Linked DNA regions of Lepisosteus oculatus. The protein of the gene in region 4 purifies or fractionates together with the protein of the main gene of each other region. This does not show direct contact. Links are inferred from orthologs where the notes say so. Each region holds a gene or a part of one and is shown on either strand. Other genes may lie near its edges. The genes, in order: rfc1, rfc5, tipin and rpa1.

Region 1 (7,363 bases), on a different chromosome or scaffold from region 4:
AATTCCCGGACTTTAATTCCTGTTTTTAAATCTCATTTCTTCACTTACGTGTCATTTAAGTGGTGTGCCTTTTCTGGTGTGGGCATAGTACAACACGAGAAAGCAGTAAAAGAGTCACTGCAAAATGGCAGTTGAAAGAATTGGAAGTAATTGTTGCTGGTTATGTATTAAGTAAAGATTTTGATAGGTACTCAAACTCTAAACAGGCTGCTTTGGAAAATCTGAACAATGTTTAATATAACCATGTTTTTGAGGCACATGACAACAGCAGGTTATTCCTTGCAGGTTATATTTATATATAAAATACAGGAAATTAGTTTTTAGGATTATTCTGAGACTCCTAATTCTGTCTTTGTCAGGGTGAGAAAATGAAGCCAGCAGTGTGGGCTGATGTTGTTTCATTCAGACACGCGGCAAGTTTTAAATGAGTTTTGTTTTAGCACGAGCTTTAAAAACTACAGTGATCTGTGTTTGTCAAGCTATCACTATTATACAAGATGAAGTTGGGCTGTTGCTGCAAAATGCAGGAAACAGGGGAATTGAGGTTTAAAGAACAATTCTAAAAACAAATGGAAAAGAACTGAACTCTTCAGAATCCTCCCCTATGGATTTCATTACCTCTCGGTGTCTGAACCAAAAGACCAAAGTCCTGACTATCATGATAAATAAATCATAGGCGCTGGAGAAGTGTATGCTATGCTGTCTGTGCATTCCCTTCCCCATTCTCCACTGAGCCTTAAATAAATAATCATTATGACTGACCCGTAGAGCAGACTATGCAGTGCACATAACAAAAAGGCAACCGCAGCAGCTTCACTTGAGAAACAAAGTCAGGCTTTGTGTGAGAGCGACTGGGTCCTTGAATGAATGATGCCAGGCTGCAGATAGATCAGGCACGGAAAAAAAAAACCCATTACGTCTTATCAGCCGCGCTACCTCACCTTGATTAGATTGTGAGCCACAGCAAAGACAGCTGTGAGGTTCCCTCTCTCTCCGGGGGCATGCACGCCTGTCCCATAGCCGTGCCAGGCCACCGCGTAGGGGTTGTGCATTGTCACCCAGTACTTGACGCGATCCCCGAAGCTCTGGAAGCAGAAGGCGGCATAGCTCTCGAAGTCATCCACCAGGGCGTCGCTGTGCCACCCGCTGTGGCGCTGCTGGAGTGCCAGGGGCAGGTCCCAGTGGTAGAGGGTGACCACGGGCTCGATGCCCTCCTGCTTCAGCCGGTCAATCAGCAGATTGTAGTGCTCCACCCCCGGCAGGTTGGGGGCCCCGCCGGTCCCGTTGGGGAACAGCCGGGGCCACGAAATGGAGAAACTGTAGGTCCGCACCCCTAGGTGCTTCAGCAGCTCCACGTCCTGCTCCCACAGCCTGTAGCTGTCGCTGGAGGTGCCAGACCCCGGAGCCTGCTGGGAGCGAGTGAAGTGATCCCAAATGGAGGGGCCCTTGCCGTCCTGGTCCCAGGCTCCCTCGCTCGGAAAAGCGGCGCTCCCGGCTCCCCAGAGGAAGTCCTGGGGGAACGTGCCGTGCAGGAACAGCTGGCTGGCGTCCACGGGGGTTGAGCTGGACTGCGCTCTCCACACGGCTCGTCCATCTCCTGGCAGGCAGACCACGGCCCCCCGGCTACACAGGAGCAGCACAAACAGGCTTTTTAAAGCAAGGGGACCCATCCTGTGCTCCCCTGGGACTCAGATCCAGCCCAAACCGAGGGAGACGAGCATGACGGCTGGAGCAGAGGACAGGGAAAGCACACGAGAGCTCAGCCAAGCTGAGCTGGGGCCATCTGAAGACCTGAGCTGCTGGACTGCCTTATCGTGCCAGTGGGAAAAAAAAACACAACAATCTTCTGTTGCAAGTTGGACCTCTGTCAATGATTAGCCTGAACTGTGATCCCAAGGATGAGTTAGGAGGGAGAAGTGTGCTCCGGGAAGGCAGCTCGGCGGCTCCTAGCACGCTCTGCCCTGGGAGACTGCTCAGACACACACACACTTGCAGCACAACGGAATAAAGACACACAGGCTGAGCAGGCAGAGCACTGTATGTGCACACACGGTGCACAGAGACTGCATGCCATCTGAGAGACCCCCTTCACTGCAGGTGTTGAGCAAATATCGGCGTTCACTGGAGACTGGCAAGAAGCAGCCAGTGAAAATGACAGGATTTAAAAAAACAATTTGGAGTGGAAGAGCAGCAAGCTTGGACCACCACTGGAAGGGTCTCACCTTCTTTTCTGTGCAAATACTTCTTGCACAGAGGATGTCATCTTTTGGGTAATGTCAAATGACTGGTTTAACATAAATGTTTAAACCACGTGACAAGCCAATCATTTACCTCATCAGCTATGAACAGATATTACATTGTCCTACAAAAGCAATATTGTTTTGCTAAGACCACATTGCTTTATCCAATGTGGATGTGGATATAATACAATATATTGGTAGGTGGTAATTTTACCATATATACATAATAAGTCAATTGTAAATATTTTGCCTTCTTCTCACATTGTACCAAAACATTCAAAAACTGATTATTTGTTGTCAATTGTTTTTTTAACTCTTTACAGATTTTTCAGGGACACTGAATCAATCTCTCACTCAGATTAGAAACAGATACAATTTATTTTTCGAGTGATGAGCTACAAATACAGTATTTCTCCTGGGAATATATTTAAATGTTCTGTACTAATTTCATGGGCCATACTGTGTGAATTCAGACTTTGTCTAAGCCTAGGGGATATTTGATCATTTTTCTTTCATCGCCCTTTCAGGGCTATGTGAAAAGAATTAAAGGGATATTTGGAAAAAAATCTCGTCTGGCTCTTTCTTCTTCCAGAAGATAGATTAAATGTGACTTGCAGGAGAGGGCATCGTAAATTTCAGATGAAACAGGACTCATTTAAACTCATTGACAGTGTCCAGACCCTCCTAATTAGAGCTCACATTTGATTTCAGTGTTTTGCCATCAGTTATTTCTTTAATTGAAGTTTCATTTGCTGTTTATGCTGGCAAGAGCAGATAATGAAATATGACAATTTAAAAATTCAAATTAAAACTCTGTGTAAACAATTACAGACTACAGACAATAAAACTACTATTTTATAATACTAAAATGTGTGATGTACAGTATATATGTAAAACTATATAAAAATATTTCCACTGTGTACCATTCTGAAAGTACTATTACTGCCAATAATTATTCCTTACACTTATATGTACACTTTTCTAGAAACTCCACTCAAAGTGTATTACAGGTAATGGAGACTCCCCTCCACTACCACCAATAAGGAGCCCCAGCTGGATGATGCGACAGCAGCCACAGTGCACCAGTACGCTCCCCACACACCAGTTCTCAGTGGGGAGGAGAACAGAGCGATGAACACAGTTTATTAATGGGGATTATTAGGAGGCCATGACTGGTAAAGGCCAGGGGGAAATTTGGCCAGGACTGGGAGAATATAATTAGAGACCTAAACAGGATATGATCAAAATAGATTCTAGCGGAAAGGTACAACTTGTTAGAGTTCTTTGAACAAGCAACAACACTAATGGATATGTCAGCACACTGTTTGGTATATTTAGATTTTTGGAGGGCTTTTGATGAATTTCCTCCTGCCAGATTAATACTCAAATTGCAGGTGTCAGACATTCAATGAACTGTGTGTACCTGGATTGTGAGCTGGCTAATAGACAGAAAACTGGGTACTGATAAGGGGTGAATACTCAAATTGGTGTTATTTGTTAATTTATTAATTATTAATTATATGCCCACTGGGATTTGTATAATGATTACTGCTCCTCCAAACACCTCTAACTATTATGGAAAACTAGTCGAGTTTGCAAAATTAGAGTCTCCTACAACATGATGGTATTAAGCGTGAAATTGGATACAGCATTGGTTAATAGAAAATTGAGAGCACAGATGAGCTGTGCAGCAAAAGCTACATTTCGGGAGATATAGGTGTCTGTTCTTCCTAAATCATTTAAATGAACTAATCAAGTTTGAAAATGATACCAGATCGGCATAGTACATGGAAAGGAACTTAAAAAAATGCACCGCAGCTGGATGAACATAGGTCAAAGGGCATTCAATACTGGCACGCCAAAAATGTTGCAGTATATTGACAGCTATATACTAATATCAGGAGAACTGAAAAGACCATTGGCCATGTCTAAAACTACAATAACACAAACGCTGTTGTGCACATGGCAATAGGGTGCATGTCCAGCACGCGCGCTGCACCTGTCCGTCTGCGGCGCGCTCCTCCGCAGCTTCAGGGCCGCACTGCGCAGGCACCCTCGGCCCGCCTCGCGCTGACAGCGGCCGCGGCTTGCGTCATTTCTCAGCGACCTGGGAGGAATGCACTTGGCGCCAAGCTGGAAGAGCACTGGAGGTGCACACTGGCTTTAAACATTCAAGAAATCGTATATAATATACGATGGTGAGTATAACTTGCGGCGTTCGTGGCTTTGCAAGCACTGTTACAGCTGCAAGTTTCGAAATGTGCCATTTCGCTTACAGAGAAGTACGTTTGACTTGGAAGTAGCTCTGGCTTAAACCGAGATTTAAATTAAAGTGGTGGGGTAGTACTTTATTCACACCTTTTGCAAAAATGCCTTATTTTTGCAAGCATCTAACACACACATTTTTTCTTAGAGTTGGCACTTAACATGAATGCGTAGTTCTCATGCACTAAAAGAGGTGTGCGCTTGCAGAAACAGAGACTAATCGCATTAAGACGTTCGAGAAACGTGCTCAATGTAATACTGTTTTTCTGAACGCATACGGATTCGCAAAGTACATTTCGATTTAGAATGTACATTGCGCTTACTAAAAATATCGTGCGCTGCAGATCTGCGATCTGTCGTTTGACTGGAACGATGTTTTGATTCGGTAGAGTTATCACAGCTGTGACGAATTTATAATTCAATAATTGCTTTCAAAATCAATTCTGTTAAATGCTGCACGTTTCAAAACCCCTTAGCTGGAAAACTGAGAGATACGGGAGAGTCAATTACCAAAGCTCTGGGTACGCGGGAGGGGAAATTGCAGATGTGCACATATGTTCTTCCTGTCCACATGTCAAAGACGAGTGAACTGCAGGGGCTGATTGTAACAGTTAAGTAATTGGGGGTTGTGTAGAAGACTGTAGCCTTCCGGGACCCGTGTTGGACATCCCTAGTTTTCACATATGCAGATCCTTTTGGGTTCAACCTTACAGTAGCTGCATCCACATGAATCCCGTGGCTGTTTCTCACCTCATTACAGGATGCTCATAAAGCATTTGTATTGAGAGAACTTGTTGAGTATTTCCTAATGTAAAACAGATCAAATACAAATTTCCCTATCGTGTACAGATCTTTTTTTTAAAAAAAACCAACATTGTCCCACTCTCGCATTCAGCCAGGTTGGAAAGTCCAGCTCTCATGACGGGGGACCAACTGACACGTTATTTTGGTTCGGAGTGCTAACCTTGCGTGGCCGTGTGTATCGTTTGCAGGACATAAGAAAGTATTTCCAGTCTCAGTTGCAAAACCAAGCTGGGGAGAAGGAGAGGCTGACAAAGAACAGGTCCTCCAAAGCTGAGGGTGATGTGAAGGTGAAAAAGTCTGGATCCAAGGTCAGTGCTTGACAGGAAACTGATAGAGAGAGCGGTCACCTGTCTGGGCCAGCGTGTCCCAGAGGTCTTCGTGTATGTCCGCAAGGCATGGCACGCAGGCCTGGATTCAATGAAAGAGCTCTGGACTCGCCCACAGGTCGCTGCAGCCAGGCCCGGTTCTGAATCATGATTCTGTTGGGGGGTGTTTGGCATTTACCCCACATAAATCAAACAGCAAATCTGGGGTAGGGAAATTGGGCTTGGAGGGTGGGTCCCAGCTGCGTTCTAGTCTGGGTCCCGTCTAGTCCAGATTGTAATGTGGACAACAATAACATCTTGGTGTTGGCAAGTCCTTAAAGGGGAACTTCAACACTGTTTTTATAGTTCCGTGGTTCAAAAGAATCACTTGGGTGAGTGCATTTCCAACCACAGTAAAAGTAGTTTGCAAAAATTTTGTTACACCACAATATAGATGAAATTTCCAAGTATCCACGGCGCTGAGTCCTGCGATTCAGAATGAGACAACAAAACTTCCGGTGACGTGATGCAGCTTTTTACATTGTAAACAAACAGGCTTTTGAATCCAATTTTAATCCAGTAGAAATATTGCTCTCGATTTTGTGACGGTTTTGCTGACAAATGCTACTTATTTGTTAGCTCTGCACGCAGATGACATTGGAACATTTCTGAGGTGAAATAGCTGCGGTACAACCTGTACTTATTTGCTCATACATCGCACTACATTAGTCATTATAGTGACTAGTGAGCAGGAAGGGCAACATCACGTCTCAATTAGTGGGAACTCGAATGCGAGTTTGTGACAACATTGAGACTTAGTGCTTTCTAGAAAGTTCACAATTGTATGCTTAATTTGGAATTTGTAAATCTTTTTATAAAGTCAATGCATTTATTTTGTTACTGAGATCTAATAACCAGTATGAGAAATTGGGAGTGCAGTTCCCCTTTCAGCACGAAATACGTGTTAAAACACAATAACAGGCACTGAATGGTGCAAATCAGCGTTGAGAAACTACTTGAGCAAGCTTACAAACCAGGGGTCACCATTCTAGCCTGTATAGAAAGTGACAGGTTCCGAAATCTGCATGGTTGTCTCAAAGATGTTTTTGTTTTGTTTTTTAGCAGTTCCTATAGATCCTTTCATTGATCTCAGGTGAAAATTGACAGTGTTCATTTTAAAGGGAAATTGTCCCCATCCATTGGGATGGACCTCATCTTTAAGGGAACGCATCACTTCTGTTACAAAACAGTTTGACAGGTTTCAACAGCTGTAGGTCACTACTAAAGCCAGAAAGCAGTGTGTTTCATTAGTAGTATTGCAGTACTGGGTGTACAAATGTACTGTATAAGGTAAATTAAATTAATAAACCTGAACATCTCAGCATCTGTGGATGTTGGGATTCTTGATGATCATGCAGTTCATCAACCAGAAATGGGTCAGACTGCAGTGCATTGAGAACCTTATCTGTTTCCTCATCTGCATCTGTGTTGTGTGTTTCAGGGGAAGAGTCCCAAAAGTGATGATAAGTCATCGGTAAAGCGAAGGAAACGTAACATCATCAACTCAGGTGTGTCCGCTTGAAGTCCCCTCCTGACATGGCAGACGGATGGCTCTGATGATGGCCCACACTCTGGTCTCGCACATTTCCTCTATTAATGGCAGAATTGAATTTCTGTGATGTGGGTCAGCTGGAGTTTAGGCCTTCAGGCCAGCGTGCTGATACTTATTGTTTCTTGGAAAAGCTGATG
Region 2 (7,102 bases), on a different chromosome or scaffold from region 4:
CTCTGCTACATCTGAAAACGGCAAAAGCTGTATCTTGCGTACAAGAGGGGGTCGGTAAAAAAACTAAAAATATTAAGAAATATTTCACATTGTATTGATCATTAAAATATCTGTTGCGTTTAAAAAAAATACAAGAATGTTTTTTTTCCTCATTTTTGTCCAGCTGTGGTAAAACAAATGCACTCCAAGTACAGAGACACACGACCCCGCTTCAATCCTGTGAATGTTTTAAAATTCCCCGCCTACAGACGTGGCCATTAGGGAATCGCAGGTTTAAATAACAGACAAGAACATGTGTAATATGAATGCATCACTCCTTTAATATTTACAAAGCTTTCACGAAACACACAGCTTCAACATTATAAACACACGACCAGTAGCCACATCTATTACGCAACGCTGGGTTTTTGTTAGGATTCCCTCTCATTTGCTACAAATGGGTCAACGACCATTTAAAAAAAATCAAACCTTTCAAAAGAAATACAAATGAAAAAAAAGCGTCGCTGTACTGGGATCGCTGCCACAGATCGTACTGTACAGCCGAGGTAATGCGGTCGTCTGTGTTGCAAAATGCTTAGAAACAATTCAGGCCTCAGCGTTTTGCAGAGAAAATCTGCTTAGAAATAAAACGCTCGATCCACCTTTCTCCACCACCTGCAGAATGCGCAAGCTCATATCGGCTGACTGCAGCTTCTTAATTTATTACACTGCACGCCAACCCAGATAAATAAACAAATATCGGCACAAAAGGGCGAAAACCGGGATTTTAAAAGCCATCCACTGAACTATTTTACTGGGAAAAACAGCAAATGAAGAAATGAATAAGCAGAAGCACCTCCTGTCTTCAATGCGCACGAATTTGGTTGCAATAATAATGAAAACACGAGTTAATTTCAAGCTTACCTCCAGGGTTCTTATTTCTTTTTGTGTCAAGTCGTTGGATGTGGCACATTTGGTCCTCAGCCCCTCCAAACTGGAGATGCTGATGTCTATCATATTTTGCACCAGTTCGCACTGCTGCAAGGCTTTTTGCAAACTCAAATGATGCTCTTCGCTTTTTGTCATATTTTCCTCATCCATAGTTTGCGAGCACGGATCCCCTTGTCTAACTCTGGTTTTATTTTGTCGGAATTACAAAAGAATCGGATGGGAGAAAAAAAAATCCCACCAATGATTAAAAAATGCAGTAAGAATTCCCAAATAAATTAAATCCGAAATAAATTAAATTAAACTAATTTTATTAATCAAAATGGTTTTTTGTTGTTGCTGTTGTTTAAAAAGATATTATTTTGACGGCGACTCCATTGTAGTCTTCCTTTTTTATCTCCTGCCGAAGTGGAACTGCTTGGTTTCATCAGAGCAGTTCAGGTAGGCAGCGGTACTGATGTTGAGGGCTCAGTCAGACACAATATAACAGAAATTCAGGAGAAATACATTTAAAACAGAGCGTCTGCTTCAGCTGGCTCCATGGAGTATTTGGACGCTTAAATAAGTAAGAGTAAGTATTTAGCTCAGCATTGCACAATGGACAGAGACGAGACGGCGTTTTAATATTATTGGTGTAAGCACTGTGTGCAGGTGCTCTCTGTCTCTCGTGCCAACAGCTGCATCCCGGCTCTCTGCTTCCACACCGACATGTTGCCTGTCAATCAAATCCACAGCAATAGCAGCAACGGCGACAGAGGCAGCAGCACCGAGCGAGCTTGGAGAGGAGCGGGGTTCTCGCGAGATATAAGGCTTCCCTCATCGCAGTGAGCTCACTGTTTCAACTCTCCAACCTTTGAGCTAAATTTACTGTAGTTGTCAAGTGATTTTTTTTTGTGGACAAGAATAGTTTTATTGGCACATACTTCTGTCTCCGAGGAGAGACGTCAAGTTCATTTGCACGCAACCTTATTAATGTAATCAATCCGGTGTTTTTTTTTTAATTCTGCTTTTCCACCTACTGTATATCCAGTGAAGTTTCTTGTTTTAAACTCTTGTTTGCTCTCTTTTAGATGTTTTGACATAACACATCCAGCTGAATACCTAGGGTGATATATTTGAAATGTTAGTATGGTAGTTATATCGATTTGCCATTAAGAATTTAAATATATTGTGGCGGCTTAATACATACTGTAGCAACATATTTAGCTAGATAGTCTAGATCAAAATTAATTTGGACGCATTTACAAAGCGTGAAGTGGCATCTCTCCACGCTGTCATTACGTCTTGGAAAATAATAGTAATTAAACATCACTTCATACTACAGTGGTAATTGATATTGACCTCATTATGGCTACAGAACTGATTGGACTTGAGTTTTTGTTCTGTGAATGTGGTTCTGTTGATTAGATTGAAAAACTAGGTGTCACGTTTATTTTGATGAACTTCAAAATGATTCACTTCTATATGTACATGAAACGTTATGAGAGGGAAACAAATACTGGTAAAACTACAGGGAAAATAGAGAATGTGATACAAGTATTGGCTACAAAGACAAAATCGTATATAAACAGTGTTAACCCTAGGAAAATGTCTTATTTTAAGAAAACAAATAAGCATAGAGTATGTAATGTTGTGTGTTGGCATTCCATTGTGCAGCAGTGAGGAGTAGTGTTTAGGATTCATAACTGGAGTGTTGTAGGTTCATATCCCAGGAGTATTTCCATTGCACCTTTGAGTTACGTATTTCAGCTGCACACTGGCACAGTGCAGTGCTAGGGTCCTGGGTTCGTGTGGGTTTCCTCCTACTGTCCAAAAACATACTGGTAGGTTAATTGGCTTTTTGGGAAACTGGTGTCCCGTCCAGTGCTTCTCATCCCTCACGATCCTGAATTGGAAGGAGTGGTTAGAAAATGGATTGGGGAGAAGCTTCAGTAAAATGTCTACCTGTACAAATGCAAGTTGTTCTGGATAAATGAATAATAATGATACATTGTTTTTTTCACCCAAAATGAGCCTGCTTTTGTCATTCCCAGCTGTGTTAAGATAATAGATCATTTGTGTTTTTTTGTAGAACAGATGCCAAACTTGTGTGATTGAGGCTACAGAACACAGTTTAGGACAGGTGCAGTATTGTTCCCTTTTCAGTGGACACAGTGCGACAGTTCGTATTTGAAGGATAGGAGGAATAAACATTTTGGGACACAAAATAAACATGTCACTCCAAATGAGGGAGCTTTATTCCTGCTATAAATTCTTTTGACATTTTATCACTGTCACCTGCAGAGTGAGGCGAAACCACACTTATTATGAATGTACAACTGAGACAACCCCCCCTTGGAAAAAGATAAAATAGAATAGCTCATCTCAGAACCTAAGAACCTTTTTGTGAGGCATTGTCTTACAAAGCAGCAAGGAACTTAATCTCTTTTATTATTATTCACTGGTAAATATAAAATACAATTTTAAAATAAAAAATAAGATAAAATATTGTATTAACATTTTAATCTGAAACCGTGTATTAAATTAAAGCACTATGTGTCAAGGTCATTAAGCAAAGCCACTGTAAAATTCTAACTATATTCAGTTATGTTGCACTGAGGAATAAGTGGAGAAATTAACTACAGGGGCGGGTTGGGTTTAGGGGAGGGGGGTTGTGTCAAAAGCCTTTACTTACTCTTTAGAAACAAAGAGATGTGGAAAAGGGATCAAAAATACGATTTTATTATTATCGGTGGGGGATTTGCCTCGCACGAGTTTTCTGTATTTAATCTGGTAGGACGGATTTTGACTTCTTCTGAGGATATTGTTGGTTTTATGATTAAATCCCTTCTGCTTAACGCATGCACGTTAACGCTTCCATATCAAGCTGTGCTATTTATTTTTATTTTATAATCACCCATTTTTGGATGCACAACATTTCTAGGATGATTTGTCACTTTTATAACTAGACAATGTAATGTTGCAAAAATAAAGAGTGTTCTTTAAACAATTTAAAGAAATATCTTTATAGTACTCTGGAAGAGCAACAGACAGAAAAAAAGCTTAGTACGACGCTGTCGTCTAACTGGGCGCCGACAACCATTTTACGTTACAATTGCTAGGTTACCAACACTTTCCATTAGAGTGAGCGCCGCCTCTTCGTCTCAAAGTCCGGATCTGACTGGACAATGTATTGCCGTAAAGCACTTTGTCCAGCAGCCAGAAAGGCGTGTATACACAAATTTACGTAGTAAAGCGCGCCAACTGCAGAGAATGTATGAAATATAGGGTTAATGTGTTCAGTATTAGTTATATAACATTTATTTTAAAACATGGCTTCAACCAGTAAGACGCCGTTACAGTCAAGAAACTTACCATGGTAAGTCCACCTAGTTGAGCTAATTTACCTTGCCTGATCATTGTGTTCGTTACTGGTTCTGTGTTTAAAAAAATGCTGAACACATCTAGCGATCACAATCCAAAAATGTACGATTGTCAGTCACATCAGATAATTTGGAGAATCCCTTCTTTGGAGTGTACGAAGTCGAGAACTGCACTTTTGGTACTTAATCACGGCATTATATCGCACCAATTACTCATGCCCTACTGTGAAATCAGATAATTATACAGATTCATTATTCTTTCTTCTTGCTTTCCATGCCTGGTTTCGATGGAGAATAAAGACCTAATTAAAAAAGCGACAATGCAGTGTAAAATTAGTGTAGACATAACTTCCAATTGTGCGTTACATCACATGCTATAGTCGACACTGCATATTGCCGGTCAGCTGTCAGGTCAGTTTTAATGGGAAGTCTAGTGTTCGAGTTCCTGACACACAGTACAGCCATGCCGGCCACATACCGTTGATGCCGATCCGCAAGTCTGTGTTCGTTACTAGAAGGTAAAAATTCAACGGACGGTAAAAATGTTTCTGTTGATGTGCAGGTTGCTATTGCAGGGCTCACGATTGTTGTCTTTCAGGGTTGAGAAATACAGGCCACAGACCCTAGACGATCTGATATCCCATCAGGACATCCTCAGTACAAGTATGTGTGTTTTTGCCCCCCTTATCATCAACGCTGTGGTTTGAATTACCGTTTTATAACGTTTTATTCTACACTTCCAGATATCTGCATCCTTCAGCTGGTGTTGAACTTCATGAGCTATTTCTGTTGTGGTTTGTGTTGACAAATAGGCGCTGCGACAGGTCATCTGCCTCCTAACTTTTCATATTTTTTCCCATGTTGAGCTCAGGTTTTTGAAAAGCCTCACCTTTAGGTATAGCGTACTATTTATTCCCTACTGCTGTACTGGATGTAAATGTTGACAACCTGTGAGTTCAGTGGCCTCTTCGTTTCACCTATTAAATTCATGACATTGACAGAAACTACAGTTAGGTATTAAGTTAACCATTAGAGAGATGGTTTTAGAAATGTCAGTGTTTTACGGTTTCTGTTTTTCTAAGGCATTTGCTCCAGGTTATCTTTTTTTTTTAGTCCAGAAATTTATTAGTGAAGATCGGCTGCCACATCTCCTCTTCTACGGCCCTCCAGGGACAGGGAAGACCTCCACCATCCTGGCCTGTGCCAAACAGCTCTATAAGGATAAAGAATTCAGCTCCATGGTCTTAGAGGTACTTGAGCCACTCACTGCACAAAACATTGGACAGTCAAACCTAGCAGTCTCTATGCAGAACATGGTATCTGAATGTCAGTCAGTGTTCATTGGCTGTAGCTGTCTCATTGTTGCAATTATTGCTTAAACATACCGTGTCTATTTAACCAGACCTATATGCTCTAGAGCTGTGGTGTCCATCATGCTGATTGTCCCGTACAGTCTTCTGATTTTTGTGTTTTTGTTAGCTGAGCTCTGAATGACTTAAGTGGAGCAACCATGTGCTATGCTCATTGATAATTTATGGAAACCTTTAGTACGAACCACCGCTACAAATGAATGAGCAGTACAATATCAGATTGGTAGTATCAATGTGTTATAACATATAGTATATAATGGAATACTTTGTGTGATTATATGGTGTTACAAACCTAGTGTCGGAAGCCATGAACTTACAAGTGTCCTTATTTTTGTTTAGCTGAATGCTTCTGATGACAGAGGCATTGATGTTGTCCGAGGACCCATTCTGAGTTTTTCCAGCACTAGAACCATCTTTAAGTGAGAAGCCTGTTATTTATTTTGTCAGTTACATGTGTTTCATTAATTATTAATATTAATAGTGTACGACAAAAGTGAGTGCACAATCCCATTTCTGAAAAGAAGAGCATTTGTACAGGTCAGATTTGTTTTGAAGTTTTACCATTGTCTAACACTGTAAAATGCCTATCATTGTTTTGTATAGGCCTTTGAAAACCACAGGAATGCTCTCATTCCAGCTGACATACAACTCATAGGCAGGATTTGGGATGGTGCTTCAAATTTTGAAGATGCTTGAAGTGACAAGGCATATGTTCTGAATAGATACAATTGCTCTGCCTTAAAATTGTTTTATAATATGGGAAAGTAAGAATTTGATAGTATTTGGCATCAGCCTGTGCACTATATATGTGTACCTATTGTAGCAGTATAAACAGTGCAACTAAACATACTGTTCAGTTACAGTCTTTTGTCACGTTCAGAACCGTAGTAAACCTCTTGTATGAAAGAAAAACATCTCTAAATGTCTGTTCTGTGTTATCACTTTTTAGGAAAGGGTTTAAGTTGGTTATATTGGATGAAGCAGACGCTATGACCCAGGACGCCCAGAACGCTTTGAGAAGAGGTAGCCATCTGTTTTGCTATCCTTCACACTGTGCGCCAAATGTCCAAGGACTTGGAGTAATTTCTGCAGTCTATGGTACCAGCCAACAGCATAACAAATAATGATCTCACTTCCAAAGATAGCCTTACCTTGTCATGAGAAAACAATGCTGGCATATTCTAAGCATGTTGTGAGTTTTGTTTTATTAAGCTGCAGGTCAATTCTTTTCTTTCTTTCTGTCTGTCTGTCCCCTGGCAGTGATTGAGAAGTTCACGGAAAACACGCGGTTTTGTTTGATCTGTAATTACTTGTCCAAGATCATCCCTGCTCTGCAGTCTCGATGCACCCGGTTCCGTTTCGGCCCACTTTCTCAGGAGCAGATGGTCCCCAGACTGGAGTATGTCATCCAGCAGGAGAAGTGAGTACAATAGCAGAGCACGA
Region 3 (7,971 bases), on a different chromosome or scaffold from region 4:
AAGAAGTCACCTGTTACTGATCAGATTTCTGCAGTCTTGGGAACAGAACTGGAGCCATTTTACATCTAAAAAAAAGCATCAGCTTCCTCTACTGCAGCGCTCCAGTCTCACCTGGACTTCTTTCTTACTTCCCAGAGACTCCAGTTTGTCAATGAAGTCGTCAAACTGTAGTTTCGGGTATAATCTGTGGGCCCAGTTCTCCATTTTCTGGATCAACAGCTTCAGGTCTTCAGCCTGTGAAACACAAAAGGGAAGGCATTTGTTACTGCTACCACCAGGGGGCAGCAACACAGCTCTCTTGTAACAAACTGAACAAAAATCAAAACACCTATTGAATACCCATTTTACATAGAAGAATACATCTGTGCATTTAAACAGCCTCGCATTTTATCAACTGTGCATAGTACACAAACTGTAAGGAAAGTTAGTAAAAGAGGAACCACTTGACCCAACACAACCAGCACAGATACTTTCCCCCCAATTGAACCCTGCTTCACTTGAGAAAGGAATTGACAAAGACAATTCAAAGACCTTCACAGCTTTCCTGCACCAGATCAGTTCTAGGAACTTGAAAGAACTCCTTGAAGTACATCCGTACTACTTAAAAAAACCACCCTTTTCAGAATCCCCCCCCCAACACAAACACGTTCCCAACAGAGCTACACTGCTACAGATGCTCATGAATGCAGGGATGCTGCACAGTGGCTCATGTCACAAGCACATTAATGAACGAGATGCAGAGCTGTGGTCATGGCGGCGGCGCCTGGGAAACAGACTTGGCTAGAAAGTGATGCACGCAGCAGAGCTCTCACCTCGTGTCCTTTGCCTTTGAATCTTACATTGTCGAATAAGGTGCGCAGAGCTGGAAGTCCTCTTTCAGACACTAGCCTAAAAAACCCCACACTCAACATTAATGCACAGCACGTACACAGCGCACGTACAAAGGGGATGTTCTCCGTCGGCATACTTCATTCATTAATGAACAGAACTACAGCCGCGGCCGCAATCTGTACCCGTGTTGCACTCCGGCAAAAAACAGAACACGTCAAACCTACAGTACGTGCCTGAATCAGCTGCTGAAACAAGCAAGCAGCTCCAGAAAACAGCCCACAGGAAAAGGAAGGAACTCGATCAAACGTGTGGCCATCATATTCAATTGTTCTCCTTATTAAATGGGTACAGCTATAAGAACTCAGAATTTAGATTCCAAGCAAAAGACTCCGTTTGTAATAAAGGCTATTTATTAGCCGAGAGACCCGACGAACCTTTTCAAAGAGCCAGTTCTGTTGGCGCGCTCGCCACATACCTTTGGGAATCAAGCTTCGGCTGAGGTCTCTTCACAGCCCTCCTCTTGGCAATGGGGGCTTCATCTAACCTGGACGTCTCTCCCGCGTCCTCCCCTTGAAACACAGAAGAGGTCAGGTCCACTACACTGGACATGAGAAGTCTTCCGCAGCAGGCTATAGCCAGCCTCATGGACCTGCAGCTCCTGGCAGACTTTGTAAATGGATCTCCCACATCAGAGCCGATCGGCAATCTTTCAAGCACACTCCGAAAGATACGATGTACAGTGCCTATTTGCTATAATCATCTCTGAAGAAATCAGAGAAGGCTGCCGTGTCAGCATGCGTAGGCTGCAAAGGAACAGGTAAAGGTTGATTCCATGGTGAAAGCAAAAGACAAGAAACTGTTTGGAGCCTTCTTCAGGCGTGTTAGCTCTTTACACACCAAAAGAGGCCTTTTTACCTCCTACAGATTTGGTTCTATTTGATGTTATAGATCATTGTAGCCCCTGCGAAATACACAGAACATGCCATTTAAGGTGAACTATACGGTTTAATTCATTAAACACACTGACAGCCTCCAACATATAAAAGGCCTTCAGCCAGTCTCTGGTCTACTATTTCTGCTAATGCACGTCTCCAAAGCCGAACCCCTGCATGAGGAAGGCTAAGCAGGAGCTTGATTTCCTCGGTTAACCTCGGGGAAGTGCCAGAGACCGCCGGGGGCCACTGTGGCCCCTGCCGCGTCAGCCCAGACCGCGGCGCGGGGCTCTCACCGTTGGGAAGGTCGTCGCCGTCCCCGCCGGACCCCTCCCTGCCCGGGGACAGCGGGGGCGGCAGCGGAGGAAAGGCCTCGTCCTCGGTGTTCTCGTAGTCGGGAAGGTCAAACAGGCTGTTCTCCAGCGGGTCGATCATGGTGCAGCAGGCCCGGCGCGCCCTGGGGGGGACACAAGACAAGGGTCACTCCTGACGGCATTCCCACAGCCGCCGTCACCCACAGGTGGGCCGCCCGTCTCCGCTGCGCGAGGGGCCCGGCACAGGAGGACCCTGCAGCTTAAAACAGACAACGTGCCTGCGGTAGGTCTCGGCCAAGACCAGAGGCCTGGTGTCGGATACTCGGAGACCCTGCTTGACCACAGTTTTTCCAGATTATCAGAGATGGTAAGGAGAGGCACAGTGGCGCAGCGGACAGCCTTGCTGCCTCACAGTGTGGGGACCCTGGGTCCAGCTCCCGGGGTGCTCTCTGTATGCTCAGCCTGGGTTTCCTACACAGTCCAAAGACATACCGATGGGTTAGTCGGCTTCTGAGAAAACCGGCCCTGACGTGGGTGCGTGTTTGCCCTGCAATGTGCGATGGACTGGTGCCGTGTCCAGGGTGTACTCTGGCTAGTGTCCATTACTTGCCAGGATAGGCTCCGAGCCCGTATTGAATAAAGCGGTTATTACAGGGATGATTAAATTGAGAAAAGCAGCTCCTTTACTTTGGCCTTCCATGGAAGCCATCACATATTCCTCTCAAAGTCATATGTAGCCAACACTAACATTATCAGAAGAGCTTCCAGGAGTGAATATCGCAATTACCTTTCTGTTTCCATACGGACAAGCACTGAATGTAGTCAGCATCTTTTGCAAGACTTGAGTCTTTTACATATTTTGCCATTTTCCCCATCTGCGTGCAACATGCAGAGCACGCTGGGGTATGCAAAGAATTTCTAATGCAAGAAATTGTATATGGCCAATAAAGTGATCTTATTTCAAAATATCACCTTCCAACAGTTCTGTTCTTTCAAACCACGTTGATTCAGTCTGTCCAACACGTGGCTGGTACATGTTCCGTCGATGCACAGCGACCGATAAAATGTACACGTGAAACCACTCTCACGTGTTTTATATAGGAACTACAACTGCTTTATTGCCTGGGACTAGCAAAACGCGTCCAGCGCAATACGCTCTTCAGTGCCAACAATGAAATAAGACGGTCACATGACTGCACAGCTCATTTTAGAAAATACTTCCCTGTGGGGAGAGTGAAAAGCCTGGTTATCAAGACTGGCAACTCTTCGAAATCAGAGCGCATGTTCAGAACAATCCTCCCGCACTAATCCGGGAGGCTCAGCTTGTCCACAAGCAAGGACTCCGTGCGCTCACGACGCGGCTGGATAACGATCGACAAGTGGCAAAGATGTTAGCGAAACTAGCAGCGCGCGTTCAATCACAAATCTGCAGCTGGTCGCCGACACGCCCCTTCCGCAAAGCCCGGAAACTGCCCGGGTCTCGCACATGCGCACAGCGAGGAGCGACACAGCTCCCCTTCGAGTCTAGCTGAAAAGCGCGGCGTGGGGAGTTTGGCGTGTGAATTTCAGGCCTGGTAACAAGAAAGAGGGCTCGTTAAACATAGTAGCGTTATAACTAGGTTCAGAGCGTTCTCAGCTCTTTTTTCTTTAAGCTTTAGAGAAAGAGAAAATTTAACTGTTATTAGTTTATTCCAGCCAGGTCTTCAGAAAATGAGTTACTAGTTACGTGTAAAGTGTCGGACTGGGGTCTCTCCACGATGGCTAAATAGCGATTTCTTTTGTTCTGGCCGAACGGTGTAACGCCCTTGAAGAGCCAAAAGGTTCAGGAAATCTACCATCTCCTCGTGGCTCGGGGCTTTATCTGATTATTGCCCGTCTTTTCCATCTCAGCCACAACTAAACATGCCGGAGAGAAGGAAGGATGCACTTAACGTTCAGAGACGCCAACATCCCGTAAAAACAAAGGCCAGAAACTAAAGTCGCTTAAACTAACTCGTTGGGTTATAAAATGTATTGACTGACTCGGACCTAACCTTGAGCAGTACATCACTTTCTTCAAGAGGGTCAATAAGGTGGTACAATGGTGAGCATTGCTGCCTCGCAGCGCTGGGGCCCTGGGTTCAATTTCAGATCGGGGGTGCTGCATGGATGGAGTTTGTATGTTCTCCCCGTGTTCACACCATCCAAAGACATGCTGGCTTCTGGGGAAACTTGCCCCGTGAGCTGTAATGGACTGGTGTCCTGTCCTGCGAATACCCTGCCTAGAGCCCGTTGCCTGCCGGGATAGCCCCGGCTCCCCTGCAACCCTGTTTTAGATGAAGCGGTTGAAAATGGATGGTAGATTCAATTCAATTTACACAGGTATCCATGCCTATCATTGTCCACCGCAGATTCGACACAGGCTGGGTAAAAACTACACGGCCATTCACGTTCTGTAGCAAGAACCTCTTCAATCTTCCCCCAAAAAAGTCAAACCAACTTTCCAAACGGCAAGAAAGTGTGCAGGCCGACGCCGAAGAAGCTTTGTAAACGTTTGTCTGTAGGCGTACTGACGTAAAAGCTGCAATAGCATTAGGTAGATGTGTACGGCCCACAGAAATCACGAAACGAGTTTAGGCTTTAACAAAAATTGAAAATAGACGTACTAGGTCTGTTGACAGTGCCCAAAAACACAATGGCAAAGTGCCTTCTTACACACAAAAGCGACCTCACGCTTTCTGCACAATTATTGAATCGCAGCAGTGGACAACAGAAAACCCAACACATTTGTGTTTTGTTACTTTATAAAACTATCGCTACACAACACCGTGAGTTATATATACAAGAAAGCGACTTAACTTACCGGACCACAACAACACAGCAAGGCCGACTACGCTCGTGAACTCGAAATAAAGGAGAAACTCCGCGAAAAACGGCGACGGAAACAATGAACCAACGAGTAGATAACGCAAAAGAAGACGCTCACTGACCTATTATTATTATTATTATTATTATTATTATTCGATAAATCAAGTATTCATCTACAACAGTGGTAAGAAGAGGACTGTCCGCTTTTATCCAAGCGAGTCTCTTCTCCCCGCCGGTTCTGCAACCAACAGCCAATCACATCTTAGAACCACACTGACCAATTAGATCTCTCTACAGGGCGACCACGAGTCCGTTCTATCCAATCAGCGCTTCCTATTTTGAGGGGGCTGGGCTTCCATGCAAATGCAGGGCTCTGTTTTTTTTCGATCAGTGTTATAAAATGTTCCTGCTGTAGGTGGAACGGGCGAAGGTTTATTCCGTGCAGGCCGAAAGGAGAAGAAAAGAGACACAACGTTTCGGCTGTGGAGCCTTCAGGAATATTCAGCATGAAATAAACCTTTACCTGTTCCCTCGCAGCCTACAAATGCTGACGCAGCAACATTTTCGAACTTTTTCCATCTTTCTGGTTGTTGACTTTTTACAGTCTTCCAAATCTGGACCAATGTTCAGTTTTGCTTGTCTACATAAGTGACGTAGTTACCCAATCGTTTATTCTCTGTGAGCAGATTTGATTGGTGACTTTCCTTAACGTGGGTGAGGTTCTGCACATAAAAGCTGCAATGATTCTATCATTACGTTACACTCAAATAATCCGCCTTAAGATCACTTTATTAGCCATGCACAATTTCTTGCATTAGGAATTTGTCTTTTCGCGCACCCCAGCTTGCTCTCCATTAATTATCACGTGTTGCGCTTAATTCGGTGTAATATCTTTGTTTTGAGCTACAAGGTTTATTTTGACAGCGTGATCTTTAATTCATTCATTCATGCAACAATAAAGAAAGAAAATAGGCAGTACAGTGTGACATCCTGCCAACTTCACACGCTGCACACGGATCGTACAGCCAGAACTGCTACTAGAAAAGAAGAAGATACCAGAAGACCCGATGATCCAAGAATTTAACGTCCTCAAAGGCATTGACAAACACAGTGGCCCTCGTCAAGAGGTGAAACACGAACCAGACGTGGTTCATTTTAGAACCGAGAACGGGTACAGGGACGTCTTTACAAAAAGGGCTGTGGGGGTGTGGAACAAGCTATCCAGCCATCTGGTGAAGCCGATACCCTGGCTTCCTTCTATAAACGACTGGATGAGATGCTTGGAGTGTTAAGGTACTGAAGACCAAACGGGTCAGACGTGCCGAATGACTGTCTGGTTTCGTTTGTAATCCTTTTTTATGTTCTCACGGTTCTTTATCCCGTACTACAGTACAGTTCATTCAAAACTGTCGAGCCAGAACTCGCCGGGAGGGGGAGCTCTCCCCAAAGACGCCGTCCCCAAGCTCGCAGGAAGACTAATGTAAATATTTTCGTGACGTACACCTTCACAGTCATTGGCTGTCAGCAAATAGGGAGAAAAAATGTTACTGAAACATAAAGAGACTATCCACCCATAGAGAAATTCTGGGTATCAGTGGAAGGAGGAAGGCGAGTCTTCATCCGCCGCTTACAGCTTTTTTTAGCGATAGCAGGCTTTACTGTGTAACAGGCTGCACTCTTGGGTAGGATAGCGGCACTATTTCTTTGAAATATCATTGCATTATTAACTCTTGTCTGGGAGTCTTGCACTAGTAGATACCCTCCCTCCCAGCGCCTGTAACTCGCCAGTTCGTGATTTATTCAGGGGTTCCTGTAGTCGGGTAATTTGTCGCTGATTTTCTAAAAAATGCAAAAGAGGAGGAAGCCGGAGCCGATTCAGCTCAACCCAGCTCCTGATGGCAACACTGTCAACGGTACCAGCGCCACGGAGTAAGTTCTAATCTTTTAAAAGCTACAATGACGTTTTCCTCCTTGTTTCGGAATCGGGTGATCTGTGTGGCTCTGCTCTCTGCTCACTAGCGCCGTATATCTAAATATCCTGCTTGGGGTGTTTTTTTTTTGTTTTCATTGCGAGGCTCTATTTTGTAATTTCTTCTTTTTTTTTTTAAATGAATACATATGACATGTGTCTGTGCTGTTACATGGGTGACTCCCCCACCTCACCCCCGAAAATAAAGAGGAGTATCTTGCGAGGACCCCAGTGGTGTCGTGACATCAGGAGTGGTTCCGCTGAACCGCTCCATTCCCAGGAATTTTAATAGGAGTTACAGAGTGGAATGCTAAAGGCTGTCCTGGGGTTCCTGCTGGTTTCACTGAGGTTTAACTAGTCCATAGCCCATTTGGATCTGTGTGTTTCCTGCGTGTGTACATGTTACTGGATGTTTTTCTTCCCTCCTTCTCCCGCTGAGTATTTTTAAACTGTTGTGACTATTAATGTTGTTGATGCAAATCCTCAATACCTGCTTGCAACGCCTACAACTTATTGATCCACTTTGTTTTCTCTGATGGTGTGTACGTCTTTTTGTTGTGTGTGTGTGTATATACACTTCCATTAATGTCAAATCAGTAATCTGTGCTAAAACATTTTTGCATCTATGTCCGTATCTGTTAAGGACACAAAACACCTCTCTGTAATAGAGCCAGACGTAGCTGCAGTGGATAGGTACAGTATATGAGTGGGGGCTAGTGTTGTGTGGTAAGTTTGGCACTTGTTCTGTTTGTGAATGATACAGCAACCATGGCCTGTGGGATTGTAGCTCACCCTGGGCACAGAATCTGTCTGAAGGATTTGTTAGTACTGGGAGATGCTGAGGAGCACTGGTCACAGACAGCCTGGATGTGTCCCCTAGGTCAGGTGTCCAGCAGCTGGCCTGCTCACAGCAGAGTTGCGATGCCCAGTACCCCTCCATTTCTCTTAACAGCTTTTCGCTTGGGCAAAACAGGGGGTAAAAAGGTGCCCTCTGGAAAGTTGATGAACTGGGCGAAATTTACAGCCTCCACTCTCCGCACCCTCCCTCTCTGTGAGATCAGCCATTGTGGCCGAGCAG
Region 4 (7,161 bases):
AAAGCAATAGAAGTCGAGCCAAGAAAACCAGGCAACAGGCTGTTGTTTAAAGAGTAGGGGTGTTAGCCTGGCGTCCTGGCCAAATTCCCCCTGGTCTTTACCCATCATGGCCTCCTAATAATCCCCATCTCTGAACTGGCTTCATCACTCTGCTCTCCTCCCCACTGAGAGCTGGTGTGTGGGGAGAGGACTGGTGCATCATCCAGGTGGGGCTGCACACTGGTGGGGGTGGAGGGGATCCCCATTACCTGTAAAGCGCTTTGAGTGGAGTGTCCAGAAAAGCACTATATAAGTGTAAGGAATTATTTAGGACTTCTTAAATTGCCATCTTTTTACAGAACATCCTGGATTCCTACTGCGACACCCAACACATGCTGCACGCGTCTCATTCCTTACCTTCTCCGTAAGGGACCGGGTCCCCAATCTTCCCGCCCACGTCGGACGCTGACTTCAGAACCTCCACGTCGACGATGATCACCACACGCCTGGGCGCCCCAAGAGCCAGAAAACAGAGCAACTGCTTAGGACCGCCCGCGCTTGCAGCCCGGAGGAGACAGCTCCCACCCAGCGCCAAGCTTTCAGGTTCTCATTGTGGCCTGAAAGCTGAGCTCCTCAAACCCCACCTCAACAAGAGTTCATAAACCTGGGGGACGAATGCACTCCTAGCAGGGCTTGGACTTCACTGTACTTCAAGACCAACAATGACAGAAGTGCTCCTGTCCTTCTCTCTCTGTCTTTGCACCGGCAGGAATCTTTTACGTCTGGGCATGCCAGGCGGCACGACTCACCTGCCATCCTTCAGGGTGTTGTGGACGTTCCTCTTGATCTGGCAGATGCAGTTCGAAGACACGGTGTTCTGCTCCACCAGGTGGTTCAGCTGCGTGGCCAGCATGAAGGCTGTGCCAAGGAGGAAGATTTCGGGGTGAAAAAAAACAAACATGCACAGTGATGCCCTGGACTCCAGGGAGAAGGAGCTGGACGAGGAGTTTGAGGCGGCCGATGACGCATGAGCTTTTCAACAGACCTGTGCAGGAGCCCCAGGGAGCCCTCAACTACACCGCCTCCCTGTAGTTTCAAACCCAAATATCAGACCCTTTACTTGTCACGATTAAAAAAATGTGCAAGTACCAGTTATAAATCATTTAACAATACTTTAGGTAACAGGGCTCTCTTTGACACCTGAAGTCTGGAAGACACAGAGAGGAGAGAACACTTCTCACACAACCAGAACTTGCAGAAGCAAAACAACCAGGACCAAAGGAAAGTGGAGCAGAGCACAGTGAGACTGGGTCCATCTCTGCCATTCAAACCGACTCTGGATCAACTAGGAAAAGCTCCTAAAATTTCCCCAAGCTAAAAAATTCTGAATTTATTACATGTAAAATCAAGTTTACGACCTTAAACCATAACCTTCTCCAGAGCTTAATGAGCAAAGACTTGAGCAGCCACCAAGACTTAAGCACCACAATAAGGAGCAATACAACTATCAAAAGGACTTAAATTCAAAGGCAGATGCAAGATGCTTCCCCGCCAGCAGGACACACTGCTTGTTCCCCGTCTTTAAGAAGAAAGAGACATATTCCAGAGGACCGACAGTCTCCTGAGGTTCCAATCTAAACCCAACCGATGGGAGCCGACTACTGCCCGGCTGAAACAGGCCCAATACCGCTGCTGCTGTACTCACAGGACATGGTGTGCACCCCGTCGCTCATCATCATCCGGAACCGGACCGGCCCGGCGCTGCTCTCGATGCGCCGGATGTTCTGGTTGGGAGGGGGGAGGGGACACAGGTCAGATCTCAGCGATGCTGCAACAAGGGCAAACAGATCTCGGATCTCGGATCAGATGGGTCCGTACTCACCACCACCTGCAGGACCATGTTGGGCACGTCGCTGCCCTTGGTCAGAGCCTGGGGGGACAGAGAGTGAGGAGGGGGGGTCAGCCAGGCCTGGCAGTGTGTATCAAATATCAAACCCGAGATACAGATGAACTGAAACTGGAATTATGAATGCACAGCTACACAATTCTATCCCTCTTCCTTAATCATAAAAAACTTCCTTACTTTGAATGCATATAGCCCAGTTAGAATGAACTAAGATGTAAAGCATTAAGAGAACAGACAAGAACATACACAGATGAAAAATTCGTTTATGTGTATATTAGCACATGTCTATTATAAAATGATGCCTGCGGCACGTCGTCAGTACCTGTACAAACATCAAGCCCGTCCTCAGACAGGCTGGGTGCCGCTCTCGGCCAGCTGAAGTCCCAGTAACCACTGACTGAAGTCTGAGAGCTAACGAGCTCCTGCCAGTGTAGGACTTGCGGTGGGAAATTAAAACACTCAGCCTACAGACAGCTACAGCAACGACCCCAGACCCCGAGCCGTTCGCCTTCAGTTCTGGAAGCAGTGTTTCGCTCTGGCCAACATGCAATGCAAGCAGGTGTTTGTTTTGTTACAGAATGGCGTTTATCAAGCTTGCACTTTATTTAACGGGTGCTCCCGGAGGTCATGGCTGTTGTGAGCCGTGGAGCGGTTTTATTAATCCAGCGCCGGCGCGAAGGCCCGCGACACGGCTCGGAGACCAACTACACGCCCGATTCGCAGGAGCAGGGCTCTGCTTGCATCGCTTAGAAAGAGTCAAAAACAACTGGGGGTGTTACATCACCGACGAAACCCAGTAAAGCAATTCACTGCGATCGATATTGAGCGACTAGGAAAAAATATTTATCAAGTGCGACATCAGAAAGAACTCTCCGCTAGTGTGGATAATAACTACAAACTACTGCATCCACCCCCGAAAATCACCTACCTCAATGGCTCCTTCGGTAAGTTTGACAGTCATAGCGAGCAAAAGAAATCAGATTTTAACCAAAAAAAACTCTCCTTGAAAACTCAAAGACGGGTGAATACGCCTCTCTCCTCTGCAGGTCCGTATTCCGTGGCGCCAAGTTTTGGCTGTAGAGCGCGCGCGGAGTGTGTTTATAACTCTCCCGACGTCACGCGCCAAATTCCGCCGGCTACGGCGGGTCTTGAGCATGCGCGGTCCGTGCTCGGCGGAGACAGTCCCTCCCCGTTCGTCGGATTGGCGGGGAAAGCGCTCCCGCGAAACGGGCGCCATTGTGGCTCGAAGCTATGTAAATATAAGGGAGATTGGAGCCAAGATGGAGGATCTCTCAAAAGTGGGATCTATCACCCTTGACCGGAGAGTGCTGCTGGGTTTGTAATGTGTGTGCCCCGCTGCATGCAGAGATCCAATAGCTAGGCGTTAGTTTTATCATTTTTTTCAAGAAACAATGGATTTGCCGTGCCCCGAGTGGCAGAGACATGTCGAACAGAAGTGGAAGCTTTTGCCTTCCGTCCAAAAGCAGGCGTTCACGTCGCTCACCGAGCCGGCGGAGATGTATGCTTTCTGCGTCACGTTGGTGAAGTGAGTACAGCTCGCGTCCTGTCTCTGTCAGTGTAGAAAGTCTTGAATGAAAGTGTCGCAAGTGTACCTCTGAATTATCCCTTTTGGGATCGGGCTCAGTCTTGCTCGTGTGCAAACTGCACATCTAATTCATTAGCTGTTTTGCGCACCGTGGATAATCAGCCGAGGGATCAGTCCAAATCCTGTATCTGTGCAAAAATATTTACTTTTTTAAAGTTTACTAATAAAAAAAACTATAGCATGAATTTTGATTTTTAATTGAAAAAACCTGGAGTATGTGACAACTGTACAGTAAAAAAATGCTTGTTTGCAGATTATAATAATAATTGCTTACATTTATATAGCGCTTTTCTGGACACTCCACTCAAAGCGCTTTACAGGTAATGGGGATCCCCTCCACCCCCACCAGTGTGCAGCCCCACCTGGATGATGCACCAGTCCTCTCCCCACACACCAGCTCTCAGTGGGGAGGAGAGCAGAGTGATGAAGCCAGTTCAGAGATGGGGGTTATTAGGAGGTCATGATGGGTAAGGGCCAATGGGAAATTTGGCCAGGACACTGGGGTTACACCCCTACTCTTTTCAAGAAACGCCCTGGGATTTTTAATGCCCACAGAGAGTCAGGACCTCGGTTTTACATCCCATCCAAAGGACGGCACCTTTTAACAGTATAGTGCCCCCGTATCTATACTGGGCCATTAGGACCCACACAGACCGCAGGGTGAGCGCCCCCTGCTGGCCCCTCTCACACCCCAAACGGGCAGCAGTGAAACTGCAGCCCTGCTCTGTGAAGGAAGCAGCGCTCTTCCTGGCTCTGCGGTCGTTAAAAAGTAGTTATCTCAAGTCAACCGCATGTTGAAGCGTCTTCAGCTGGGGCGGCGCTGCTTCAGTGCCGAGGCGGACGAAGGCCTGATGCTCTTTCTTTCTCTCTCCCTCCCTCCCTCCCTCGCCCCGTCAGCGGTGAAGATGCGGCGCTGCTGTCGCGCGCGGCGCGAGGACGCTCCGTGCGCAAGAGCCCGGACTGCGCGCGCCTGCTCAGGGAGCAGGGGAACGGGAAGTTCAAGGCACGAGACTACCTGGGGGCACTGCTGCGCTATTCTAAGGTCACCGGTCCCGTTTCATTTACAGGCACACCCGGCTCTGCTCACGCGTCAGCTGCGCAGTCTCTGTTACCTGACATTGCTGCTTCATTATTTGTATTCATTTTTATTTGGCTGGTGCTTGCACCCACAGCAGGTTTTAAAAAAAAAAGTATTTATGCATAACAGAATAACAAAAATTACAATACAAACAAGAGCGCATATAACAGTTCAAGACAAAAAGATCGCCAGGGGTACATACTACTACATAACTTCAAGTTAGGAAAAAAGATTAAACAAATTAAATAAACATAATGTCTGCACTGCTTTCATATTTGTGTCTGCAAATACCCCCCTTACATCCATTTTAAAATGCTCAAGCATTTTATGTATATAATAACGTGCCATTAGAATAATTACATTTATTACCAACGAAATTTTAATATTGTTTTCGATGGGGCTGAAACTCAACATAACATCTTTTTTCATCGATATTGATATTGGTTTCTTTTTTAATATAAGTCTGCAGCTTAGTCCAGAAAAGCAAAGCAGCTTATGTTTGTAATCATTGTACTGGAGGCATGTCTCAGTGCAGTACTGGGGCTGAGGGGTATGATCGCACTGGGGATTCGAACCCACACACCTTCCAGCTGGGAGTCCAGGTGCCTGACTGCGCCCCCAGACTGCTGGCGCTCGGCACCTCTTACAGAGCTGGCCGTGCAGGGTCTGGGCCTGTCTGGCTGCCCAGCAGATGAGGGTCATGTGTTTCGTGCTCCAGTCCTGCGCCTTGTAAGACTCCAGGACAGCTGTCCTGGCGGCGTGGGGCACCCCAGGGGCGGACATCGCCCTGCGCCCCTCCCCCAGCGCCGTTCCGCTGACGCTGCATTCGGAAACCCGGCTCCCGGCCTGCTTGAGCGCTCATGTGTCCGATGCCGTTGCAGTTCTGCGAGCGGCCAGGAGGTGGCGCCAGAGTGGTGGTGGTGGTGGGGGGGTGGCCCTCTCACAGTCTAGTCCTTGCTCTCTCCGCAGGGCGTGTGCCAGGCGGACCCGGGCAGCCAGGAGCTGGCCCTGTGCCTGGCCAACCGCTCCGCTGCGCTCTTCCACCTCGCCCAGTACCAGGTGAGCGCCAGAAGCCTGCACGCTGCACGCTGCACGCTGGGTTTAGTGTGAGCTTTCGGGCAAAGGTAAAGCTCGGGTTGGGGTCACGGAGCTTTTAAATGGCTGAATGAAGCGCTGGCGTGTGGGCCTTGGAGTTACCCTCCTATGGGCCCGCCCTGTGTCAGAGGATCAACCCCCAGAGCTGACTGGAGGTCAGAAGGGCTCCCCCTTGGGCGTGGGCTGAACCCCACTGTGCGATCTCTGAGCTAAGATACGCTGAACTCTGTTGTCCCCCAGGGGAAAGGTTTTACTGACGCACAGCGGCTCTGTACATCTAAATACATCCCCTCTGTTACACACGCATAACTCGTTGCAACAGTTCCATCACATTACACATACATATTTTACAGCACGCTCAGTTTATACACAGTTGCATTTATCCTTGCCAATTATTTGCATTAATTACTTTTAATAGATTAGACATAAGAGAGAGAACACATTATTATCTGATCAACATCTGGGAGCCCTGAAATGTTTGCCAGAGGTTCTGATGTGCAGAATTAAGAATATAAAAAGGGATCTGATGTACTTGTTTCCCTCCTGGTTAATCACGGAGGAGAGCTGCATCAGTCCCATAACCTTCGCTGCTGTTTGGACAGGACGGGTGATTTTTGATCTTGATTGGACCCATAAATGACCAAACCACACCGCTGCACCATGTCTAGTTAGGCTCTCGGTGACAGCGTGGTAAGAGAAGAACGGGTCAGAACTCGGACGGCGCCGGGTGGTTGCTGTGGTACGTGGTGACAGACGTCCCGGGTTGTTGTGGGTCCGATCCGAAAACCAGCTGCTTGTTTTCGCAGGAGTGCCTGCGGGACATCCGCAGGGCGCTGAGCCAGGGCTACCCCGGACACCTGGAGCCCAAGCTGCTGGCCAGGCGGGCAGAGTGCCTCTCTCAGCTCGAGCGGGCAAGGGAGGAGGAGGAGGAGGGCAGTGCCAGTGCGGAGATCCGTACCGCCGGGGAAGGGGTTATGGAGCGCCAGGCACCGCAGGCACAGAGCGGCAGGCTGACCGGGACCCTGCTCTGCGCGTCTCCTGCCGTAGCCCTGCGCTTCGGCCACGGCAAGGGTCGCCACCTGCTGGCCGCGGCCGACATTGCGCCCGGGGAGGTGGTGGTGCAAGAGGAGGCGTTCAGCTGCGTGCTGATCCCCGAGGAAGCGGTCAGACCCGCGGTGGAGAGGGGGGCCGCGGGCACGGAGGACTGGCACTGCCATCGCTGCCTGCGCAGGGCGCTCTCCCCTGTGCCTTGCCAGGGCTGCAGTTACGCCCGTTACTGCGGGGAGGAATGTCGAGAGCAGGCGTGGGAGGGGTGCCATCGCTGGGAGTGCCCGCTTGGGGGGGAGCTGCTGGCGGCGGGGGTGCTGGCACACTTGGCACTCCGGGTGGCACTGCAGGCCGGGTGCGAGGAAATCAAGAGAGTGCAGGACCAGGGCAGGGGGGACGAAGAAACTCTGGACAGGATGAGCACCAGGGAAAAGTCTGATCAACCTGATG

What was found.
Region 1: the proteins of rpa1 (region 4) and rfc1 purify together in Homo sapiens (affinity purification with mass spectrometry; 3 studies listed by BioGRID, with this or other methods). This does not show direct contact. The link is inferred for Lepisosteus oculatus from reciprocal best matches to the Homo sapiens genes RPA1 and RFC1.
Region 2: the proteins of rpa1 (region 4) and rfc5 purify together in Homo sapiens (affinity purification with mass spectrometry; 3 studies listed by BioGRID and IntAct, with this or other methods). This does not show direct contact. The link is inferred for Lepisosteus oculatus from reciprocal best matches to the Homo sapiens genes RPA1 and RFC5.
Region 3: the proteins of rpa1 (region 4) and tipin purify together in Homo sapiens (affinity purification with western blotting; 4 studies listed by BioGRID and IntAct, with this or other methods). This does not show direct contact. The link is inferred for Lepisosteus oculatus from reciprocal best matches to the Homo sapiens genes RPA1 and TIPIN.

Annotation. Positions count from the first base shown.
Region 1 is NC_090696.1:68,398,585-68,405,947, forward strand, and holds the start of rfc1 (replication factor C subunit 1), read left to right. Parts: upstream 1-4,348; 5' UTR 4,349-4,435; coding exon 4,436-4,438; intron 4,439-5,497; coding exon 5,498-5,617; intron 5,618-7,115; coding exon 7,116-7,182; intron 7,183-7,363. Other genes in the region: klb (beta-klotho), read right to left, coding at 942-1,670. UniProt on the Homo sapiens protein: Subunit of the replication factor C (RFC) complex which acts during elongation of primed DNA templates by DNA polymerases delta and epsilon, and is necessary for ATP-dependent loading of proliferating cell nuclear antigen (PCNA) onto primed DNA.
Region 2 is NC_090717.1:4,488,264-4,495,365, reverse strand, and holds the start of rfc5 (replication factor C subunit 5), read left to right. Parts: upstream 1-4,102; 5' UTR 4,103-4,238; coding exon 4,239-4,285; intron 4,286-4,887; coding exon 4,888-4,952; intron 4,953-5,402; coding exon 5,403-5,539; intron 5,540-5,998; coding exon 5,999-6,078; intron 6,079-6,608; coding exon 6,609-6,682; intron 6,683-6,919; coding exon 6,920-7,079; intron 7,080-7,102. Other genes in the region: ksr2 (kinase suppressor of Ras 2), read right to left, coding at 904-1,080. UniProt on the Homo sapiens protein: Subunit of the replication factor C (RFC) complex which acts during elongation of primed DNA templates by DNA polymerases delta and epsilon, and is necessary for ATP-dependent loading of proliferating cell nuclear antigen (PCNA) onto primed DNA.
Region 3 is NC_090700.1:47,710,267-47,718,237, forward strand, and holds the start of tipin (TIMELESS-interacting protein), read right to left. Parts: upstream 3,002-7,971; 5' UTR 2,879-3,001; coding exon 2,865-2,878; intron 2,221-2,864; coding exon 2,060-2,220; intron 1,401-2,059; coding exon 1,307-1,400; intron 889-1,306; coding exon 813-888; intron 235-812; coding exon 112-234; intron 1-111. Other genes in the region: map2k1 (dual specificity mitogen-activated protein kinase kinase 1), read left to right, coding at 6,771-6,853.
Region 4 is NC_090721.1:10,065,174-10,072,334, reverse strand, and holds the start of rpa1 (replication protein A 70 kDa DNA-binding subunit), read right to left. Parts: upstream 3,014-7,161; 5' UTR 2,847-3,013; coding exon 2,814-2,846; intron 1,910-2,813; coding exon 1,862-1,909; intron 1,764-1,861; coding exon 1,685-1,763; intron 898-1,684; coding exon 789-897; intron 486-788; coding exon 397-485; intron 1-396. Other genes in the region: smyd4 (SET and MYND domain-containing protein 4), read left to right, coding at 3,298-3,431, 4,389-4,533, 5,539-5,628, 6,471-7,161. UniProt on the Homo sapiens protein: As part of the heterotrimeric replication protein A complex (RPA/RP-A), binds and stabilizes single-stranded DNA intermediates that form during DNA replication or upon DNA stress.